5 linked regions of the Rattus norvegicus genome follow. The protein of the gene in region 2 purifies or fractionates together with the protein of the main gene of each other region. This does not show direct contact. Links are inferred from orthologs where the notes say so. Each region holds a gene or a part of one and is shown on either strand. Other genes may lie near its edges. The genes, in order: Cttnbp2, Stk24, Slmap, Ppp2r1b and Fgfr1op2.

Region 1 (3,515 bases), on a different chromosome or scaffold from region 2:
GATTTAAGTCCCCTTTGGTCTTTCATCCTCTTGCCAAGTGTGTTAAGGTAAGGCATTGTCAGTCTGTTCAGTTTTGGTTTGTTTTGTCTTTTTACCTGTATGTCCATTCTTAGCAGCAGAATACAAGGCAGAATGGCTATCTTCACAGCAGTAATTTATGTCCAGTCCTTCTTCATTAAGCAGCATTGATAATAGAGTGACATTTCCCTGGGCAGCAGCTTGCTGAAGAAGGGTGGGCCTGCCAGCCAGGGGGGCAGGACCACCACTCATTAGCAAAGGGGTTAGGGAGGGTGACCAGCCTGTAGGTTAAAGTGACCCTAGTTAGACAGCAGGAAGAAGAGACAGAAACTACCATTCTTTTTTCAATCACACACACAGAGACAGGAACACGTATTTCTAGAAGATTACATGGTTTCTAACATTATCAATCTGTTAATACTGTCTTAGCATAAATCCGTACTGTTATTTTCAGACTTTCTATCTGGTGCTAATTAAATTAACCTTGATGGGGGGGCATGTTATTTTTAGTCGTCAGTTTGGCACAAGAAAAAAGAGTTAAAGAAATAATTGCTTTTAGGAGGCCGAGACGGCTACCACATTCCACAAACTTAAATTTCTATTTAGAATTTAAGATCATTTTGAATTTTAAGATTATATAAAGGTTACCTTAATTTCAATACTGATATGGCAATGTAAATTAAGTAAGTGTGAGATACCACCATAACTGCAAAGAGTTTCTTCAACAATGCTTCTAAGATAATTATTTGTATAAACCAGGAAATAGGCCTCACTCTATCAAGGAGTTTGTCCTATTCCTTCATTTCAAATCTAAGAAACAAATATGGGTGTTAAAAGCTGACAGAAATACAATATATATAAATGGCTGTATTGTACGACAGAACATAGTTCAGTAACTCTGAAAACTTTGAAAACGGCCACCTCTCGCCATCTTCACTGCAGGACTAACAAACTTGAGATTGGCCAACAAAGCAGGGTGCTCTACCACACAGCTTTAAACAAAGATTGCAAGATGATCATGGTTAGTTTTCTCATCAGTATTTAGCAGTTTTAGAAGAGAATCTGTTAAGAGTGTGAAGTCGGCTGCATATAGCCTGGAAAATTTTCTGAATCCTTCCTTGATCAAAAGGCTGTAAAAACAGTAAAGTACACATGTTTATTTAATTGATAATTATGTCCTTTCGGGTTAAATACATTGAGTGAGCCCCAGTACTTTTCAGCAGTTCTGTACATAACTACACATATATATTCTTCATGCAGACTTTCCATGGGGAATAGCTATATAGCTATCAGTATCAGTTACACTAATATGAATGTAATATTCAATTCTTATGATTAATCACAAGTTTTTGGCTTTACTTCTTTCAGGATATATTTAAAGTACATATCAAAGAAACTCCTCTGAATATTGAAAATTCTTTATAAAAATAAGTCAGAGAGGCCATTTATGCCAATAGAAATCCATGGAAGATTGAATCTCAAAATTATATCTTTACAACTAATAATTTGAATCCACGGATTACTTATTGTTTTATCATATCAGGACAGCAATGACAGACAATTAAAATGTTTATAAAATTCAATATTTCTCAAATCTTTATATTTTCCCATCCATATTGATTAGGTCTTCTTAGAAAAGTAGTATTTTTACTTCATACTTACAAGAAGGCTCCTCTCTGGTACATTTTACCTTTTGTATTTTCTTAAAAACAAACAAACAAAAAAAACAGGCCCACAAAAATTAAATCAGTACTTATTAGAAATGGATGATAGACAGAAAATTATAAACACCAAGGTAGGACACCTTGACTGTAATTAACAAGCAATAAGAAAGCATTACACTACCGTCCCCAGCAGAACAGGGATGGGGGGGTCTGCTTCATGCTATAAACACACACACATACATACTCATGTACACACACACTCATACACACATACATACCTGTACACATGCATACACACACTCATGCACCCACGCAAACATCTGCGCGCGCGTGCACACACACACACACATACACACACACACACACCGCACTCATGCACACAGGCACACATGTACATGCACACATGCATACACACACGCACATCTGTACACATGCGTGCACACACACTCATCTCTTCTTTACATCTCATTCAAGGAATCTAGGTTCTTGACAGTCTTCCATGAATACCAATGTGTACATACTAAAGTTTGCTCATCTTTTAGTTTAAACCACAGTTCTAGGCTTTGTAAGAGACAATACAAATTCACATTTCCAATTGTTTTATATGGGTTTATATGGAAATATTCAATTATGTGTATAATTTTCTGGAAGACCCCACTTGAGAGCAGTAAAAGGCTTTATTCAAAAATGTTATTAATCATAAGGTCATGAAGTGTTGTTGCTTTTCCAGTCAGATTCAAAGAAAGCAGTATCAGTTTCTTTGGAGGACTGAAAAAAAATGGTCTCTAAATCTTCACAAAAGAAAACGTTTTGAAAATATTGTAAACTTTAAGCTCTTAAATTTAAACAAATGTTATTTTTTTACTATAATTTCCAGTTTTCTCCCAATACAATTTATTTTAAGAACTCCTGTTACTTATATGTTGGAATTAAAAGAAAGACCTCACTAAACATTAGTATTCATCTGAAATTCTCAGCCATGAGAGAAATGGTAATATGTGATTAACTGGATTAGTTAAGGACAGAATAAACCCGAGTCCACACAGCTACTCTACAGGTGTTAGAAAGTCATTCGGCTACACGGCATTGTAGGCAAACGCTAGTAAAGGTGAGGATTTGCATAGCAGGCCACAAAACATGGGGACATGCAAGGGCAGAGGAAAAGGAGCTGAGAACAGCTTCTGGCACCAGCTTCAGAGGGTGGAGAGGGTTAAGGTCACAGCCCAGACCATTCTGATTTTGCGATTTAGCATTCAAGCCAATCATACACGAGTATACTTTAGAAAATATCTTTAAGGAAGGAAAAAAGTCTGAACCAAATGAAATGGAATTCATAAAATAAATAATAGTAATAAAATAAATAATATCAACAAGAAAAACAATCACAAAGAAGAAAGAGAGGAAGGAAGGAAGGAAGGAAGGAAGGAAGGAAGGAAGGAAGGAAGGAAGGGAAACAGAAAAATTTGCAAAGGTTTGGGGATTCAGTTGCCTGGAGTGATTCCTATTTTAACCTTCTTCATGTAACCATTGGAATATATCATATATAATATATAAATATATGTGTATATTATACATTATATATTATATATTCATTTGACAAATTGGTAAGAATTTCTAATTCATTTACAATTTAAAACACTATTTTAAGAGTTCATGATTTGTTATGAGGTCACCTCTGGTTAGCGTACTTTAGAACGCAACCCATTAAAATGAGACCCCTCTGCCACTCCGGCTTTTCACTGGGATTTCACCTCACTGTTACAGACAGAGGTGGCAGGGACACAGGGCATCTCAAGAGAAAGATCCCAGGTTCCAGGGCAAAGAGGAATAAAG
Region 2 (3,975 bases):
GAATGAGGTCTCAGGGTCCCTATGGCCCGAGGCAGAGCGATTCTGACTCTTAGACCACTTCCTATTTGTCACTAGTACATACAGTACTTCCTGGAGGCGCATGGATTCACTCCATCGGTCCTTGTTTGCTGCAGAAGAAACAGTTTAGAAGGAGGGCAGAGCTGGTGCCCAGAGTGGGCCCGCGGCCTTAGGAGCAGTAAAGCGAGGGGAGGGCTGGGTAAGAGTCCAGACCGTGGTTTCCTTCCATTGTCTTCTCTTCCTCCGTCACCCCTCCGCACCTCACTTTCCCCTTCTTGTGCGCAGCGCAGAGATGGCGGGGGCCCAGCCCTTCCTCCGTCCAGCTAAGTTTCCACACCCGGCGGCCCAGGCGAGGTTGAGTTCAGTATCCAAGGCACTGCACACAAACTGCCCTCTCTACCCTTGGGGTTTCCTCCTTGATCTGGCTGGAAACTTCGTACGGACAGCGAGGACGCTCCGCCCGAGTCTTTTGGAACAGGCCCCAGGCTAGGCCCCTCTGGGGACACCCCGAGTGCAGACTCTGGCCTCTGGAGGGCCGGGGCGGGTAAGAGGGAAGAGTAGGAGTGGGTGGTGCTCTCCGCTCCCCCGGGCTCAGCTCTGCTCCGCGCGCGAGGCCCACCCCGCGGTTCCGAAGGACCCGGCCACGCAGCACCCGGAGAGCGCCCGCTGAGCCCCGAGGACCCCGCCCGCGCGCCCGCAGGGAGGCCCCACTGCGGCCTAGGGCGCCCGGCGGCTCCTCCCCTCCCCCTCCCCCTCCCGGAAGCGCGGGGCGGGGTCCCCGGCCGGGCCGCGGGGGCGGGCGCGGGGGCCGGGCCGGGGCGGGGCGCGGCGGGTTGTGCGCGCCCACTCGGCTCCAGGCGGCCAGCGCTCGCGGGCCCAGGCCGCCCGGCTCGACCCGAGCACCGCGGCGGCGCAGCGGCGGGAGCCTAGGAGAAACAGCCGCAATCAGGAGACATTCCCGCTGTCCCCGCTGCCCGCCCCAGGCTCGGTGTATGGGGCCGCGGCCCGCCAACCTTCGCTGAGACCGTCCCCGGGGTGCGGTGGCCTCGGGCTCCAGAGCCCGCCCCGCCACCCGAGGGCTGCGCGCGGCCCCGGGCCTGCTCGCCGCGCGACTCCGCGCGTCCCGGGCCAGGAAGTGGCGGCGCCGAGAGCCATGGCCCACTCCCCGGTGCAGTCGGGCCTGCCGGGCATGCAGGTAGGCTGGGGCGTCCGGGTCGGGCTGCGGGCCGTGGCGGAAGCGGGCAACTTGGCGGTGTCAACACGCCCCCCCTCCCCCCAACGGCCGGGCCCGTTTCTCCGGGATCTTCGCCGACCGGAGCAGCCGGGATCTCGGGTGTGTGCACGTGGAGGGGCCGTGGGGTCTGCGGCCTCGGGTCGAGGTGGGGTGCAGGAGCTTTGTGCTCCCCAACTCGGACGCTCAGGCCAAGCGCTCATTCGGGGCAGGAGTCTGAACTAGTGTCCTTGGAGGCCCCGTTTGGGTGCCTGGGCCCTGTTTGGGCCTGGCACAGGGACAGCGGGATTCCAGGGTCTTCAGTCCCCAAGAGTCCCTCCCCAGAACCCCCAGACGGGAGACGGGAGCGCGGGACGGGGAGCGCGCCCCGGCTGGTCCCAGCCGGGCGGGCCGCAGGGCGGGGTGCAGGAAGGTGTAACCTCGCGTCCAAGCCTGTAGTTCTGGTGTGGAAAGTGCGAGGTTGCAAACCCGGGAGGCGGAACCCACACCTCTGCGAGTGCCCTGGCGTGCAGAGCCCAGGTTCACCCCTCGGATGCCAGGTCTCCGCTGCTAGACTTTCACTTTGAGACACGATGGCATCCAAAGCAGCTGTGTGCTAGCTTGCTTCTCCCTGCACTCTTTGTATCTTCTTAGTTCGCCAGTGACTTTTTCTTTGGAGGGGAAGGGGGCGGTGAGGGGAGGGAGTTGAATTTCAAGTTTACATGGATGCACGAACATTTTTTTTTTTTTTTTTTTTTTTTTGCTTTTGAGGATGTTTTTCTGTACTTTGAAAAACAATCACTGGTCTGTTCTTGTAAAGTTTGTGAGCGTATAATGCAGACAAAATGATTGCGATTAACACCGCAAGACCAGTCAAAGTTTTGTTTTCCCAAGTGAGTGAACGGAAGAGTTTTGCTTTAAAAAAGCAAAAAAAACAAAAAACAAAAAACAATAAAACCTCAGAATATCCGAGATGATCAGTCTACAGACGCAGCAGGCGCTTTCTCTCGGGCTCCTGGGTTGAGCGGCACGGGCCTTGCCTCTTACTGCTTCTGCTTCTTCTGAAACTATTTTCCATCCCTGTTTTCTTTCTTTCTTTTTTAATTCATACCTCGGGAAGGAAAATGGATTTCTTTGTCCAGGTTTGAACTCTGGAAGAATAGGAATTCAAAGTTACCACTTTAGTGGCCATTAGAGCTTGAGCCCTTTTTATTTTTGAGGAATAATAAAGTTGGAATTGAGTGTCACTGGAAAGGTGCTCTCAAAGTATTCTTGAAGTCTCACCTTGCGAGCCCGGTGTAAAACCTGATGCTGCTGGCCACAAGTTGAAAGTCAGCCGCGGCCTCCTACAACTCTTGCCTTGGTTCGACTTTAGAGACAAAACACCTGGGTCAACCGGGCGACAGTTTCTTACCTGTACAGCAAAAAGGACCTCTTGGCACATTAAAAGCACGTTTTTCCACGTTTTCTTCATTCATGTGTGGGAGGTCAGTACCAGGTGGTTCCTAGCTGGGGGCTGCTCTCTCATTTTGTTTGTTTGTTTTAAAGAATGGGCCAAAATTCTTCACTTTGGGAAAAGAAAAATTCAATAACTTTACCTAAAAAGTGTATTTCCTGTGTGTTCTTGAGAGGAAGCCTTTTTAATTTTGTTTTTCGGTATGGAGATGATAGCCTTTTCTCAGTATTAATTTTTTTTTTTTTTGTCTGTTCTGGTTCTGCCAAGGAGGAATACTGGCTTTTCACAGCCCAACCTGCCCCTCTCTATGTCTTCAAACCACATGATAACATTTTTAGTGCATTACTGGAGACTGTTCCTATCCTTCCCTTCCCTCCAGAAAAGAAAAACCAGTACATTTATTTTCAACTTGGAGTCAGGAGCTGCAGCCTGCCTCCCTAGGAGCTGTTTTGAGGATCACATGAGAGGCTTGCCTGGCCTTGACTCTTGTCTAGGATAAAGCTGGAGAGGAAGAGGTCTTCCCTGTTGCCCCACAAACTCCCTGCAGACTCCTGGCTAGGGTTTAGGAGGAACTGGGTTAAGTGTTTTGGCAAGTGGGGTGTGGTAGGGTCGAGGCAGGAGGATTTCTGTCAGTTCAAGGCCAGCCTGGGTTACCTTAGGGAGTTCTAGGCTAGCCAAGGTTAATCCTGTGACCCAGTCTCAGAAGAACTGGACAAAGTTCGGCAAGGCAGCAGACTCAGACAGCCCGAGGGAAATAAGTCGAATTCAGGAACTCTTTTGTATAAGGACTTTATGGCCTGCTAATCACTTTATATCTGTTGTTGATTGCTGGTCTGATGGAGGAAGAGGTTACTTATACCGTCTTGTAACTTTGTGAATGAGGAAGGGTTTGAATGGACCAAGGTAAAGTAGTGTGTAGAAAGGCATACAGTGATTAAACCCAGGTCTTCACTCTGCCTTTGCCAGTGTTAAACACCATTTTGTTTTAGGTTGTATTTGCTGAAGAAAGAAAGATAAGATGAATGTGTGTGTGTGTGTGTGTGTGTGTGTGTGTGTGTGTGTGTGTGTTTTCCCCCTCACTCAGTAGCTGTGATTGATGGGCAACTCTAGTGATCTTTGGTGAGGAGTTTCGGGCTGTACACCTGACTGTTTTGATGAGATTCGCTGGGGATTTTCTTTTCCTCTTTGGGTTTTGTAGTCTGTTGAGAGAATTAGAAAGTAAGACCTGGCCAGGTGCCTTTAGTCCCAGGAGACAGGGACAGGCAGATCTCAGAATTCGAGGGCCAGCCTG
Region 3 (3,515 bases), on a different chromosome or scaffold from region 2:
GCTCAGACACAGCCTTTGCTGCTGCTTGATGAAGGAGCAAAATCTCATCTTGAGCACTCAGCAATTTATCTCTCGTGCTAGAAATCTCAGTGTCCTTTTCCTCCTGGAGATTCTCCATATCCATGTGTAGCCTCTGCAGCTGGACTGTAAAAGTGTATTTATCATTTCCCAAGTCACAGGGATTAGGAATGCAATTACAGCACATTACAGGTTTCAGCCACTGTGCAGCCTCACTCTCACAGCTCTTTTTCCTCACTTTCTTTTGATTAAACTGCACATGTTTGTACAGAAAATACCAGAACACAGATGTAAAAGAAAAAAGCCAAAAACCTAAAGTAAATTTATTTTAGTATGTTGACATTTATTCTTTTTTCTAATGCCTTCATTCATATATAAAATAACGAACATTGAGTACAAAGGGATTTATATATGCATGTATATAATATATATTTTTCTATCTTCTTGCCGATGAAAATATTTTGTAGGGAGGGAGGCAGTGAGACAGTTTTAGCTGAGGCAGGAAGGACTCAGAGTCATTACCCAGCTGAGGTGGGCCTTAAACTCATGACCATCCTGCCTCTTACGTGCTGGATTACAGGCATGCAGCACTCCAGTTAGCATGACCCTGCCTTCTCAACTCCAGTGTCTATGATGGGTTACTGGGACAGTCCCTCCCTTTGTCTGCTTTGAAGGCCAACTGTCCAAGGGCCTAGTACGACGGTTTCTAGGGAAGAACAGAGCCATGGCAACTGAGGACCCTCTGCAACCTTACTTTCCATTCCTTTGCAATCACTGAACACAACCATAACCACAGCTGTCTTAACAGTCGTGGGAGCCCCATACCTTGAAGAACCTGGATTTGTTTAGCTGATTCCTCAACTTGATTTCGATAGGCTTTTCGTTCTTCTTCCAAAAGAGCTAAAAGGCAAAAACACAGTGTATCTAATTTTGTGAGTTAATGAAAAACATTCATAATTGTGCAACTAGAAATTTCTAAAATTTGTCTTTTAAAGTTTATGGAGAGACACAAGGTTAGATGTTAAGTATTATCAGTATTAGCCATTAAGATTTTAGAACACAAAACAATAGTAAGTAAGAAATCTATAAAATCTAGTTCCATAATTTCATACACTGAATACCAGTAGGCTTTTCTTACACAAGAAATATTCACATAATTGTTAGTTATCATTTTGAGCAATGCAAGATAGCACAGGTTTATAATCCCAAATACGGGGACGGTTAAGACAAGGAGTCTCACAAGTTCAAGGCCAGCCTAGGCTATGTTAGAGGGTTGTGATAGCTCTGTGGCAGAGTGCTTACACAAAGGCCTAGGTACAATACCTGGTACCATTAAAAAATTATCATATTAAGGACTGGGTATCATACTGCATACTTAATCTAACCCAAACACTGAGGTAACAGAGGCAGGCAGATCTCTGTGAATTCAAGCAAGTTGTCATCTATGTAGTGAGTCCCTTTGCTAGCAAAGGCTATGTATTGAGACCCTATCTCAAAACAAAACAAAAAAACTCTACCCAACCACGAACAAAAAAACAAAACAAAAACCCCAAAATGGAATATTCTTGTGTTTATTGTCAAACACATAGTAAATAAAAACAATGGCTGATTGATAAATATTTTTCATTGTAATTAAACATTAGTTTGTATCCTATAATAAAGTCAAGAGAGACAACTGCCTACTTTTTAATTTCTGCAGTTCTGTGGCTGAAAGCCAGGGCCACATGCACTGGGCTGGCCTTCCTTAAGATAAGCCACAGTCCTAACAGCTCATCAGCAATCATGTCTTTAAGAATCAGGAAAGGAAGTAGTTAGGAATTCACAGCTTCATCTTGGCATTTGAATTGTTCTGCCCAGGAAGGGAATCTCATAAAACTTAGGGGTGCCATAAGGATCCATGGGCTGGATCTTGGGACTCTCCAAGACTTTAACTGCCAAAGGGCAATGGTTCCAGAGGCGGATGATTATAGGCCACGAGGAAGAGAAGTGGCTGAGATGAAAAAGACTTTTTTTTTTTTTTTTGAGGGCATCTAACTACCCAGACTGGCCTCAAACTTACACCCTTTCCCCTCTACATAGACCACTGGCCTCAGCTGAGAAGATTCCATATTTTGAACCCTGTCTGCAACCTTCCTGTTAAATAACCACCCTGAAAAGTGAGCACTAACTTAATTTACACGGTTCCCTCCTGAGCCAGGCTTGTGTGGATCCACACTGGTGGATGGAGCATCTCACATCCAAACACATGTGCAATATGAAATGCTATGAAATCTGAATCCTTTGACCTGAGCATTTGAGATAAGGGACATTCAGCCTGCAAAGAGCACAGACTAACAATGAAGCACAGAGCTCTTCTGTCGGTAGAGCTCTTGTGCTCCTCACAATTACAAAGGCAGAGAGCAGCTGTGATAGCCCTCTCACCAGCTGAAGTGATGTCTGAGAACAGCCCAGCCCTGGCTCTCCCTGCCATGCCTCTGGGCTCTGAGCTCTTGTGCCATCACACCTACTCTGCCTCACAGGACCCCAGGGGGCTGCAGGGATCTTCGTCTCACCTTGAAGGTCAAAGCATTTTTGTTTACTTGCTCTAGCTAGCTCCTGGGCTTCCACCAATTCTTTCCGAAGATGTTGAGTGTCTTGTTTGGCCTCAGTTTCTGCCTGGGTACCCTGTAAGTCATCTGACAAAAACACGTTTTTTTAAAAAGCAAGTGTTAGTACTGCACTATATTCTCTGTAACTAGTGTCTGGCACTCTTTCATGTTTAGACATACATAGTTTGCAACATGGCACAACTGAGTTAAATAAAACTTAGAAGCAAATTAGAGTAAGCACATTAGTTAACACAGATACTAGTACTATAAAAGATAGAAATTAACATACACATAATTGATGTTCATCTCCTGTAAACTTGAAATCCAGTGAGGAGATAGGCACACCACTGTTTCCATCAGTTTTCAATCATGTTCTTACTACTACGGTTATTGGTGTGTGTGTGTGTGTGTGTGTGTGTGTGTGTGTGTGTGTGTGTGTGTGTGAAAGAGAGAGAGAGAGAGAGACAGAGAGAGACAGAGAGAGATGCATGCCTGCATGCCACAGTGCAGATATAGAGGTCAGAAGACAACGTAAGGAAGCTGTCTCTTTCTCTCCCCCATGGGGCTCCCAAGGATTGAACTCAGGTTATCAGGCTTGGCAGCAAATGCCTAATTTACCAGAGCAACCAACCCTCTGCCAGCTCCTTCTCCATCGACTTTGAAATTCAAGAATAAGACAAGAAAAACTACCTGGAGCTAAAACAAAAATGGAAAAACAAAAGAAATTCATCTTTAAGAAAGAACGTGAGGGGGTTGGGGATTTAGCTCAGTGGTAGAGCGCTTGCCTAGGCCTAGGAAGCGCAAGGCCCTGGGTTCGGTCCCCAGCTCCGGAAAAAAAAAAAAAAAAAAAGAAAGAACGTGAGGACGAGCAGGCTCAGCAGGGAGAGGAGGCACTTCCAAGCCCACCAA
Region 4 (3,515 bases), on a different chromosome or scaffold from region 2:
CTGAGTCTACAGTAGAAAATCAAAACTGCAAAGTCTTCCCTGGGCTATGATCTGCTCCCACCTTCCTTCTCCACTCCTGTCTTCCCTGGACTCTTTCAACCACCATGTTCCAATGTTAGTTGTCTCCTGCCTGCCTGTCACTTCTTCAGAGTTCTGCTGACTAGCAGCCAGTGTTCTACTGTGTTACATTGATTTTTATAACATTTATGCCTGATTTTTATCATGTTTGTTTTCCTCCATTATAATGTAAGTTCCATGAGAGTAAGGACCCTGTCTGCCTTTAACACAGCAGTTAACATAAGAACCATGCCTTACATAGATATATATATATATGTAGGTACTTAATGTTTCTGTCCACGGGTAAGCCAGGAGCAGGTCTTCTATACACAGTCAGAGGGAGCACAGTGTATTTCCATTTCTCCAAAATAAAATACATGGAGTATTTTCTGAGCACCAAATGCTCACAGCCAGCTCCCACCTAGGACATGGGTAAGTTTCATGCCCATTGGTTCCCATACTCTGGCTGCTTTTGGACCATGGGAGTGGAGTTTCATAGGAACTATAGGCCCCTCAAAGCATTTCCTGGCTGGCCTTCATCAAAAAAATAAATAAAAAAATTTTTAAAATCTGCAAACAGGAAGTATAGGAGACAAAAGAAAATGCCAAATTACATCATGGGAAATATTACCAGCTAAATTCCAAATAAAGATTCTACGCCTGCCTACTCCTATCCCAGCACAAAGAAACCACACCGGCCCCCGTGCTGTGGCTAAAGCCTATGTACACTCAACTAGCTACATATAGCCTTAACCAAGCTTCATAAACTAGCTGGACTTCCACTTCCTTGAGTGTCTGTGTTCTGGAGATTGTGTACACCATTTTACATATGGGACCTGAAATCTAAGATAAGCACTCTTACATGATCCTAGAACCATCCCCACACTCTGTACTGACAAACAACTGTATTAAAGAATTTAGGAATTCCCAATTTTTCTCATTTCTACACCAAGGAAACCCAGACCCTTGGATTTAAGGTCACTGTTGTGTGCAGTACAACCATACTCTAATGCAGAAATTAACAAAGTCAGAATTCCAGGAAATGCTTCATCTCCATATGTAACAGAGCCCATAATTCTGCAAGACACCTGTCCCTGATGCAGCCCTGGCTTCCTAGTGATGGAACCCAATTCTTCTCCAACTCTTCCTTTTAACAGCTACTAACAAAGAAAAGTGGGGCCTAATTAAGAAAGAAACACCAGGTAGGAACTGAGTATTATGTTGCAAAACAATCCTACATTAGCATCAAAGGTCTCCAGTTACCTGTTCATCTGAAGCCAGATTCGTGAATAATGGAACAATTTCAGTTTTAACACTGTCTAATTCCAAAACTTTTGCAAATTCACCCAATTTGGAAGCAGCAGCACGTCGCACCATTGGTGTATCATCCGAGCACAGGGAACGGAAGTGCCTGCAGCATAAAATAAGGTACTTCCTGTCATACACATGGGCAAGCAAGCACCAAGTACCTTTCAGTCTCTTATAAACATCAATGACTAGGTTTCTACTCACAGGGGTAAGAAAAGACTAGAAAGACAGCTTAGACAGGAAAGTGTCTACCTCCCGGGCATGAAGCCCACTCATCGTCCCCAGGACCCTCTTACACAGCTGAACACAGTGGGAGTGCCTATAACCTTAGAGGGGCAAGATGGGAGGCAGAGGCAGGCAGTCCCCCAAAAGTGTGCAGGCCAGGTAGGTTAGCCTATGAAGTGAATTCAAGGCTAATGAGAAACCCTGAGTCAAAGAAAAGGAAGAAAGGTACCTGAAGATCAACACCAGAGGCTGCCACATGAAATATGCACGCACATGCATGCATGTATGCGCGCGCAAACACAAACACACACACACACATATGCTTGCACATGCGCATGAACAAAATAAGCCATTAGTATATGTAACTACATGGAAAAGATCGCCAAGCCCACTAGCCTCGTATGAAGCTCTGTTGGAAACAGAGAGCTGGGTAAACCCTGCTGTGAGTCCCAAACACTAAAAACTGCCTTACTGTCGGATCTCTGCCTTGACAGCATTTGAAGCTCTGGGGTAGCAAACGCTGAACAAACCGCATGCAGATGTGCGAGATGTGAACCAATCCCCACTTGCTAAGCGCTTCACCAGGGGTACAAAATGAGCTTCCAGGGCAACGGGAGTGTGCTCCTGGGAGATCTGCCTCAGGGACTCCACAGCCTTGTCTCGAACGACAGTCTCCTCCACCGTAGCCAAACTTTCCAAAGGAGGCTGCAGAGATCGAAAAGGAAAACCAGAGATGACAACTTACTAAATCAGGTTAGACACAGAATGCCACCTTTTATGTGACTGAAGGGAAACGGTACATATAACCAGAATGTTAACTACATCATACCAAATGGTTACTTTCAGATAACACAGTGATAACATATGGTGTGGCCAACCTGAAGACACGACTTCTGTAGAAAAGCCAAGATGGAATGTCCCAGATGGCAATTCCCAGATGGTGTCTACAAATGACACTGTGGAAGAGACTTGACACAGAATCACGATTATTTGGAGCTGGAGTTGAAATGCTTTGCAGCCACATTGAGACAGGAGTTTGCTACTTCCTTAGGAACCAGTCCAAAACCACGGCCAGCCGTGGGTGCCACACTGCATGGTCAATTCTTGTCAGGTACAGAGTCCATGCCCTTCCCTGCACCATCCTACCATTCTTGGAGGTGTGAACAACCCTGTCCAGGAGAGCTCAAGAGCCCCAACTTTCCTAACCAATAAAAAGCTGACTACACCACTTTCCCCCCAAATGTATTCAGAATCTTTCCATGAGCCAAAGAATGGGAGTTTCAGACAATCGGAAACAAATGCAGAGGTAGTGGTGACCTTGCAGATCCAGAGACATAAAGGACAAGAGGAGGTTCAAGGTCTGGCCCATCAGTAACCTAGCGATGCGGCCTGGTGGACAGTGGAGACGGGCTGCTCCTCTGAATCTCTAGCTGCCTTTCTAAATTTGTATTTGATCCCACTTGACTGAGCAGAAGCTAAAGCTGTGAAATTAGAACAAAACTCCATGGCAGACTGACCAAGAAAGACGATTGGGACTTGAAAAGAAGAAGTGTGCTGCCTAATGTGGTTCAAAAAAGTAGAGAGCTTTGTGCTTTCCTAGAGGGTGTGTCAGAGGTCCCCTGAAAAAACACCGCTTCTTACTAGTCAGTCTTTCACGATCTGTCCCCTGCCTACTGTGACACAGTCTAGAACTACCACAGGAGATGGCCAACCTCCGGGAAATGGCTTAGGAGTTGTCCCTTCATTTGAATTCTGTTTCCCAGTGCCCGTTTCTGAGCCCGAGATGCTTCTGCTCACTAGCCCCGGGTTTTATACTCTGTCAGCTCTGAGCTCAAAACACTCCCGTGCAGCCTGAAACTCACTTCCCATCAAAGACTGCTGCTGTGCTGAACGAGCACACAGGGCACCTTGCTCCAAAGGAGCCT
Region 5 (4,278 bases), on a different chromosome or scaffold from region 2:
GTTTCTCTCCCTTTTTGACTAGTAAAGTGGGAGAGATATTTTCCACATTTTGTTACACAGTAAAAAAGTGAATCCAATTTAAAAAAGGAATACTTTCAATTTATTTACCTATTTTTTCAGTTTTGTCTTAACTAGTCATAATACTCTTAAATTATTTTAAACAGGTAGGCTCAAATTACAGAGGTATGCCTTTAAGAAACAAGTTTTCTTTCTTCTTTTGCTTCCTGCTTAGCCACATTTTCACCCACTCTACCACTAAGACATCTGCAGTCAGATTCTTACAGATGGTCCAGAACATTCTGCTGCTCATTAAAGAGAAACCACCACCTACCCACAGCAGCAATTGCCAGCTGGATACTTTTTAGCTTTTAGTTAAGAAAAATCTAAAGAAATTCAAGTAATTCTTGTTTCTTTTATTAGCAAATCTACTAATCATCCAATTTCTGGAGATACAAAAACATGGTATGATATGACATGTTTTTAGATGTCAAAAATTTAAATTGTTACTGCTCAGGTTGGTACTTCTAGTGTTATTAAATATGCAATAATATTATATTAACTGGCACATGAAAATAGCAACATAAAAATGTGTTTCAAGTCCTTAGAGAAATATTTTAAGAGATCAAGAATGTATATAGCCAGTTATGGGAGTATATACTTTTAATCCCAGCACTAGGGAGGCAGAGCCAGTTGATTTATCTGTGAACTTAAGGCCAGACTGGTCTACCTAGTGAGTTCTAGGACAGCTAGGACTATGTAGAGCCTCCAACAACCACCCATAAACAAACAAACAAAATGTTTATAAAGAACATATAAAAATGAGCATCTTGTTCAGCACATACACTATTTGAAAGTACAGAAAATTCCTACTGTCCTTGAATATTAATATACTTGGAGCTTTATGAAGAAAATCAATTCTTAAAGTTGAAAGGAACACAATTTGAGAGAAAGAGCACATTGAATCAAGACCAATTTATACACTCCCTAAAATTGTGGCTATGTTGTGTGTTCAAATTAACAATCCCAAAAAGAACTAACCTAACCCAAGCCAGTTATTTCTAACATATGGCCAAGAGTTGGAATTTTTCTTATGCTGAGCACTATCAAAAACATTTGCATCCCATAAGATCCTAGTTGTTAAACATGATACTAACATAATATAAAATCATTTGAATGCATAGGGTATGTGCATGCATGTGCATTTGATATTATATACAATCTCCATCCACTAAGAGCAAAAGTACAATTAATTACATAAGTGTTAGGGTTACAAGGCTGCTCATGTTCATGCTCAAAGCAGGTAAGGGCTTTTGGGTTCTAATATTCTGATTTTTAAGAGACAGAATTTTTATAGCAAATTCTTTAGAATGATTACATTATAAATAGTATATAATAATAATGCTTGCTATGAGCCAACACTGAACTAGCATTTGTTTTAAACATGAGTAAGACACGATTCCAGATTCAAGTTCAAGCTGGCAGGAGAGACAGGTAACTGAACAAATAATGCATCCTAATAAATACTGCGGAATTATGTCAAGAGCTCTGGGAGTTCACTGTGTTATCGATGTCACCCGAGGGAGTCTAAAAAGACGTAGGGTTTTGAGAGACGATGAGACAGAAGGAAAACCAAGCATCCCAACAGACTATCTGGGTTCACACAGCAGTGGCGGAAATGTGAGGTATGCTTGGGAAACCCCCAACAGCCGGGCATAAGTGGATGGTAAAAAATTAGGGGCGGCAACAGGATGGCCCTGAAGAGGTAAAATATGATTTAAGATAGGACGGTAAAAAGCCCTGACGGATCGGTAGGCTTAAATTAGAACTTGAAAAAGTTTAAGGAGAGAGAATGCATTTCACAGTAAGTATGGAAGGCTGAGGCGGGCACACCGGTTTGGGGTGGAGGAAGGGCAACTGTCATAGTCACAGTGAAAGAAGCAAAAAATCTGGTGCAGTGTGAGTGGAATACAGAGCCTTAGACAATTCTGAGGTCCGTGTTCTGGAAAGGGGGACGGTACTACGATCAGGGACCGGAAGAAAAGAGACAGGGTCCTCACTCTTGTCAAAGATGACAGTGGCAATATACGGCATGAGTCTTTCAAAGAATGGGATAAAGAAAGAATGCGTGCGGATCACACACACAAATAAGCATCCAGCCCCCACTCATCACTCTGGAAGCAGAGGAACTGCACTGTTCCTGAAAATGGTGGAAAGCACACACTTGGAGCTTCTGAAACATCTGTCTGAGGGAAGCCAGTTGTTCCAACTTGGAACAGAATTTGGAAGGGCGCTGAGGGATTCAAACGATCTCAGCAGCTCCCTCAGGATCGTGGCTAAGTCCCAGTCGCAAACGCGGTCGAGTGCGCTGAGGCAAACTCAACACCGACAAGTCCCTCCAGCCACCGCCCACGGAGCTCCGGAGTGGCAGGAAAGGAAACCCGGAAAGGGTGTCCCGTGGCCTGCAGGCCCGGGGGTTTTCATGGAACTTTCCGTACCTCTGTTCCCGGCAGGAGCTCAGTGAGAGCACGGAGACAGGGAGCCCGGCTCAGAGGTTCACCCACTCGTGTTTTTCCACTCAGCTTCAGTCCCCCTCAGCCGTCAGAGACGGCGACCACCACCCGCGAGATGGAGGCGCCCAGAGAGTGCTCTCCGCGGCCTCGCTGCGCCTGCTCAGCGAGCGGACACACAGCCCTGCTCACACAGCGGCAGGGAGGATCCGGCAGCCCGCTTGCCTCGGCTCCATCCCGGGCGGACCAGAACCTCCGCTACTGGCAGCCACACAGCGACAAGCCTCGCGAGACTTCCCTCCGCGAGTTACCGAAAGCCCCGCCCCCTGCAGGCGGCTGGCTGTTGATTGGTGGATGGGTAGGGGGCGGGGCTTCCCTCTTCTGCTCTCACGGGTTTGCTCTGGCGGCTCGCACTCTCTCGCGCGTTTTCCGAGGGGCTACCGGTCTGGACTGAAGGCGGAGAGGGGAGCTTGAGTGGGTGCGCTCTGCCTGTGCAGAGCCGAGGCCGGCTTATCCCGGCTGCGGCTAGTACTTTGGGGGTTCTCTCAGGTGGTCCTGACCATTCTTCCCAACGGTCGATTGGGAACAATCGTTAGAGCCTTCTTTTTTTTCCCCTCACTTGCTCCGCCCTCTTCCGGTTCGGCCTCTGGTAGCCTCTAAGGGGAAGGGGAAGATGGCGGGACTGTGCGAGAGCGCCGTGCGCACGCGCGAGCCCGAGTGCGCTTTGGTGGGTGCACGCGCATGCGCGCGCTCCTGCGTTTAAGAAGCCGGAGTGTTGGGCGATGAGCCGGGCAGTCAGTCTTCTGCGGGTGGTACCAGACCGTCTGTGCGCCGACTCCCCACCCACCCTCGTCTGCCTTCTCCCTTAGCCTCCGTTCGCTCACTACAGGACCAGGCACGAAAGTAAGCGAACCTCGACGCCGAGGGCTTTCCCGTCCACTCACCTTGTCCCCCCCCCCCCACCCCTCTACCTAGCAGCCAGGTGTGTGCAGAAGGTTGCAGACAGGGACTTTGGGCGGGGAGAGGCGGTGCGCTCCAGAGCAGCCGGAGGTAATAGCGGGTCCCTAAGATGCTTCGTTACACTTGCTCTGTTTCCCATGTGCTTTTAGAATGTAGATTTTTAAAAAAAAATTTTTTTTGCTCTAAAATTTTAAGAGCGAAGCGGGGCAGTGCACCACGTGTGTGTGTGTGTATACATGTATATATATGTGTGTGTGTGTGTGTATATATATATATATATATATATATATATATATATATATATATATATATATAAAAGTTTTAGAAGTGTTTCCTCCTCATCTGCATGAGATAGCATCTGTTCTGGTCTACATGGTGAATTACTGTAGTGTATTGCAAGTTGAGGGAGAGGATGAGAGTTTGGGCCATAGGAAGACCCAATATGCAAGTTACCTTAGGAGATGTGTGTGTATTTGGGGTTATACTTTTGCTGTCAGTCTTTTCCTGTGGATTTTCCTCGGCCCCTAAGAAGGGTCAGCATAAATACATTTGAAGAATGGATCTGTGGTTTGTGGGCATAGGAATCAAATACAATGCGTATAAATGTTTTCTTCTATTTTAAGTGCTTTGTAAAAGAAAAAGAAGTATGAGCTAATTTCATGTGGTAAATTGACTGCATGGTATGACGTAGCTTATTCCTTGAACTGGCACCTTTACCTTGCCCTTTTTTGCACAAAATTCTTGGAACTTAGGATCCCTATCAAATCTTGAGGAAAACACACCTGTGAGAAATCACTTGAGATAAATAAAT

What was found.
Region 1: the proteins of Stk24 (region 2) and Cttnbp2 purify together in Homo sapiens (affinity purification with mass spectrometry; 3 studies listed by BioGRID and IntAct, with this or other methods). This does not show direct contact. The link is inferred for Rattus norvegicus from reciprocal best matches to the Homo sapiens genes STK24 and CTTNBP2.
Region 3: the proteins of Stk24 (region 2) and Slmap purify together in Homo sapiens (affinity purification with mass spectrometry; 6 studies listed by BioGRID and IntAct, with this or other methods). This does not show direct contact. The link is inferred for Rattus norvegicus from reciprocal best matches to the Homo sapiens genes STK24 and SLMAP.
Region 4: the proteins of Stk24 (region 2) and Ppp2r1b purify together in Homo sapiens (affinity purification with mass spectrometry; 3 studies listed by BioGRID and IntAct, with this or other methods). This does not show direct contact. The link is inferred for Rattus norvegicus from reciprocal best matches to the Homo sapiens genes STK24 and PPP2R1B.
Region 5: the proteins of Stk24 (region 2) and Fgfr1op2 purify together in Homo sapiens (affinity purification with mass spectrometry; 4 studies listed by BioGRID and IntAct, with this or other methods). This does not show direct contact. The link is inferred for Rattus norvegicus from reciprocal best matches to the Homo sapiens genes STK24 and FGFR1OP2.

What each region holds. Positions count from the first base shown.
Region 1 is NC_086022.1:47,836,529-47,840,043, forward strand, and holds part of Cttnbp2 (cortactin-binding protein 2), read right to left. Parts: intron 1,721-3,515; coding exon of another isoform or gene 1,681-1,720; intron 300-1,680; coding exon 96-299; intron 1-95. UniProt on the Homo sapiens protein: Regulates the dendritic spine distribution of CTTN/cortactin in hippocampal neurons, and thus controls dendritic spinogenesis and dendritic spine maintenance.
Region 2 is NC_086033.1:104,862,973-104,866,947, reverse strand, and holds the start of Stk24 (serine/threonine-protein kinase 24), read left to right. Parts: upstream 1-1,171; coding exon 1,172-1,213; intron 1,214-3,975. UniProt on the Homo sapiens protein: Serine/threonine-protein kinase that acts on both serine and threonine residues and promotes apoptosis in response to stress stimuli and caspase activation.
Region 3 is NC_086034.1:1,687,401-1,690,915, forward strand, and holds part of Slmap (sarcolemmal membrane-associated protein), read right to left. Parts: intron 2,694-3,515; coding exon 2,571-2,693; intron 919-2,570; coding exon 844-918; intron 145-843; coding exon 1-144. UniProt on the Homo sapiens protein: Associates with the striatin-interacting phosphatase and kinase (STRIPAK) core complex, forming the extended (SIKE1:SLMAP)STRIPAK complex.
Region 4 is NC_086026.1:60,095,559-60,099,073, reverse strand, and holds part of Ppp2r1b (serine/threonine-protein phosphatase 2A 65 kDa regulatory subunit A beta isoform), read right to left. Parts: intron 2,296-3,515; coding exon 2,063-2,295; intron 1,469-2,062; coding exon 1,321-1,468; intron 1-1,320. UniProt on the Homo sapiens protein: The PR65 subunit of protein phosphatase 2A serves as a scaffolding molecule to coordinate the assembly of the catalytic subunit and a variable regulatory B subunit.
Region 5 is NC_086022.1:181,220,832-181,225,109, reverse strand, and holds the start of Fgfr1op2 (FGFR1 oncogene partner 2 homolog), read right to left. Parts: upstream 2,813-4,278; 5' UTR 2,496-2,812; intron 1-2,495. UniProt on the Homo sapiens protein: May be involved in wound healing pathway.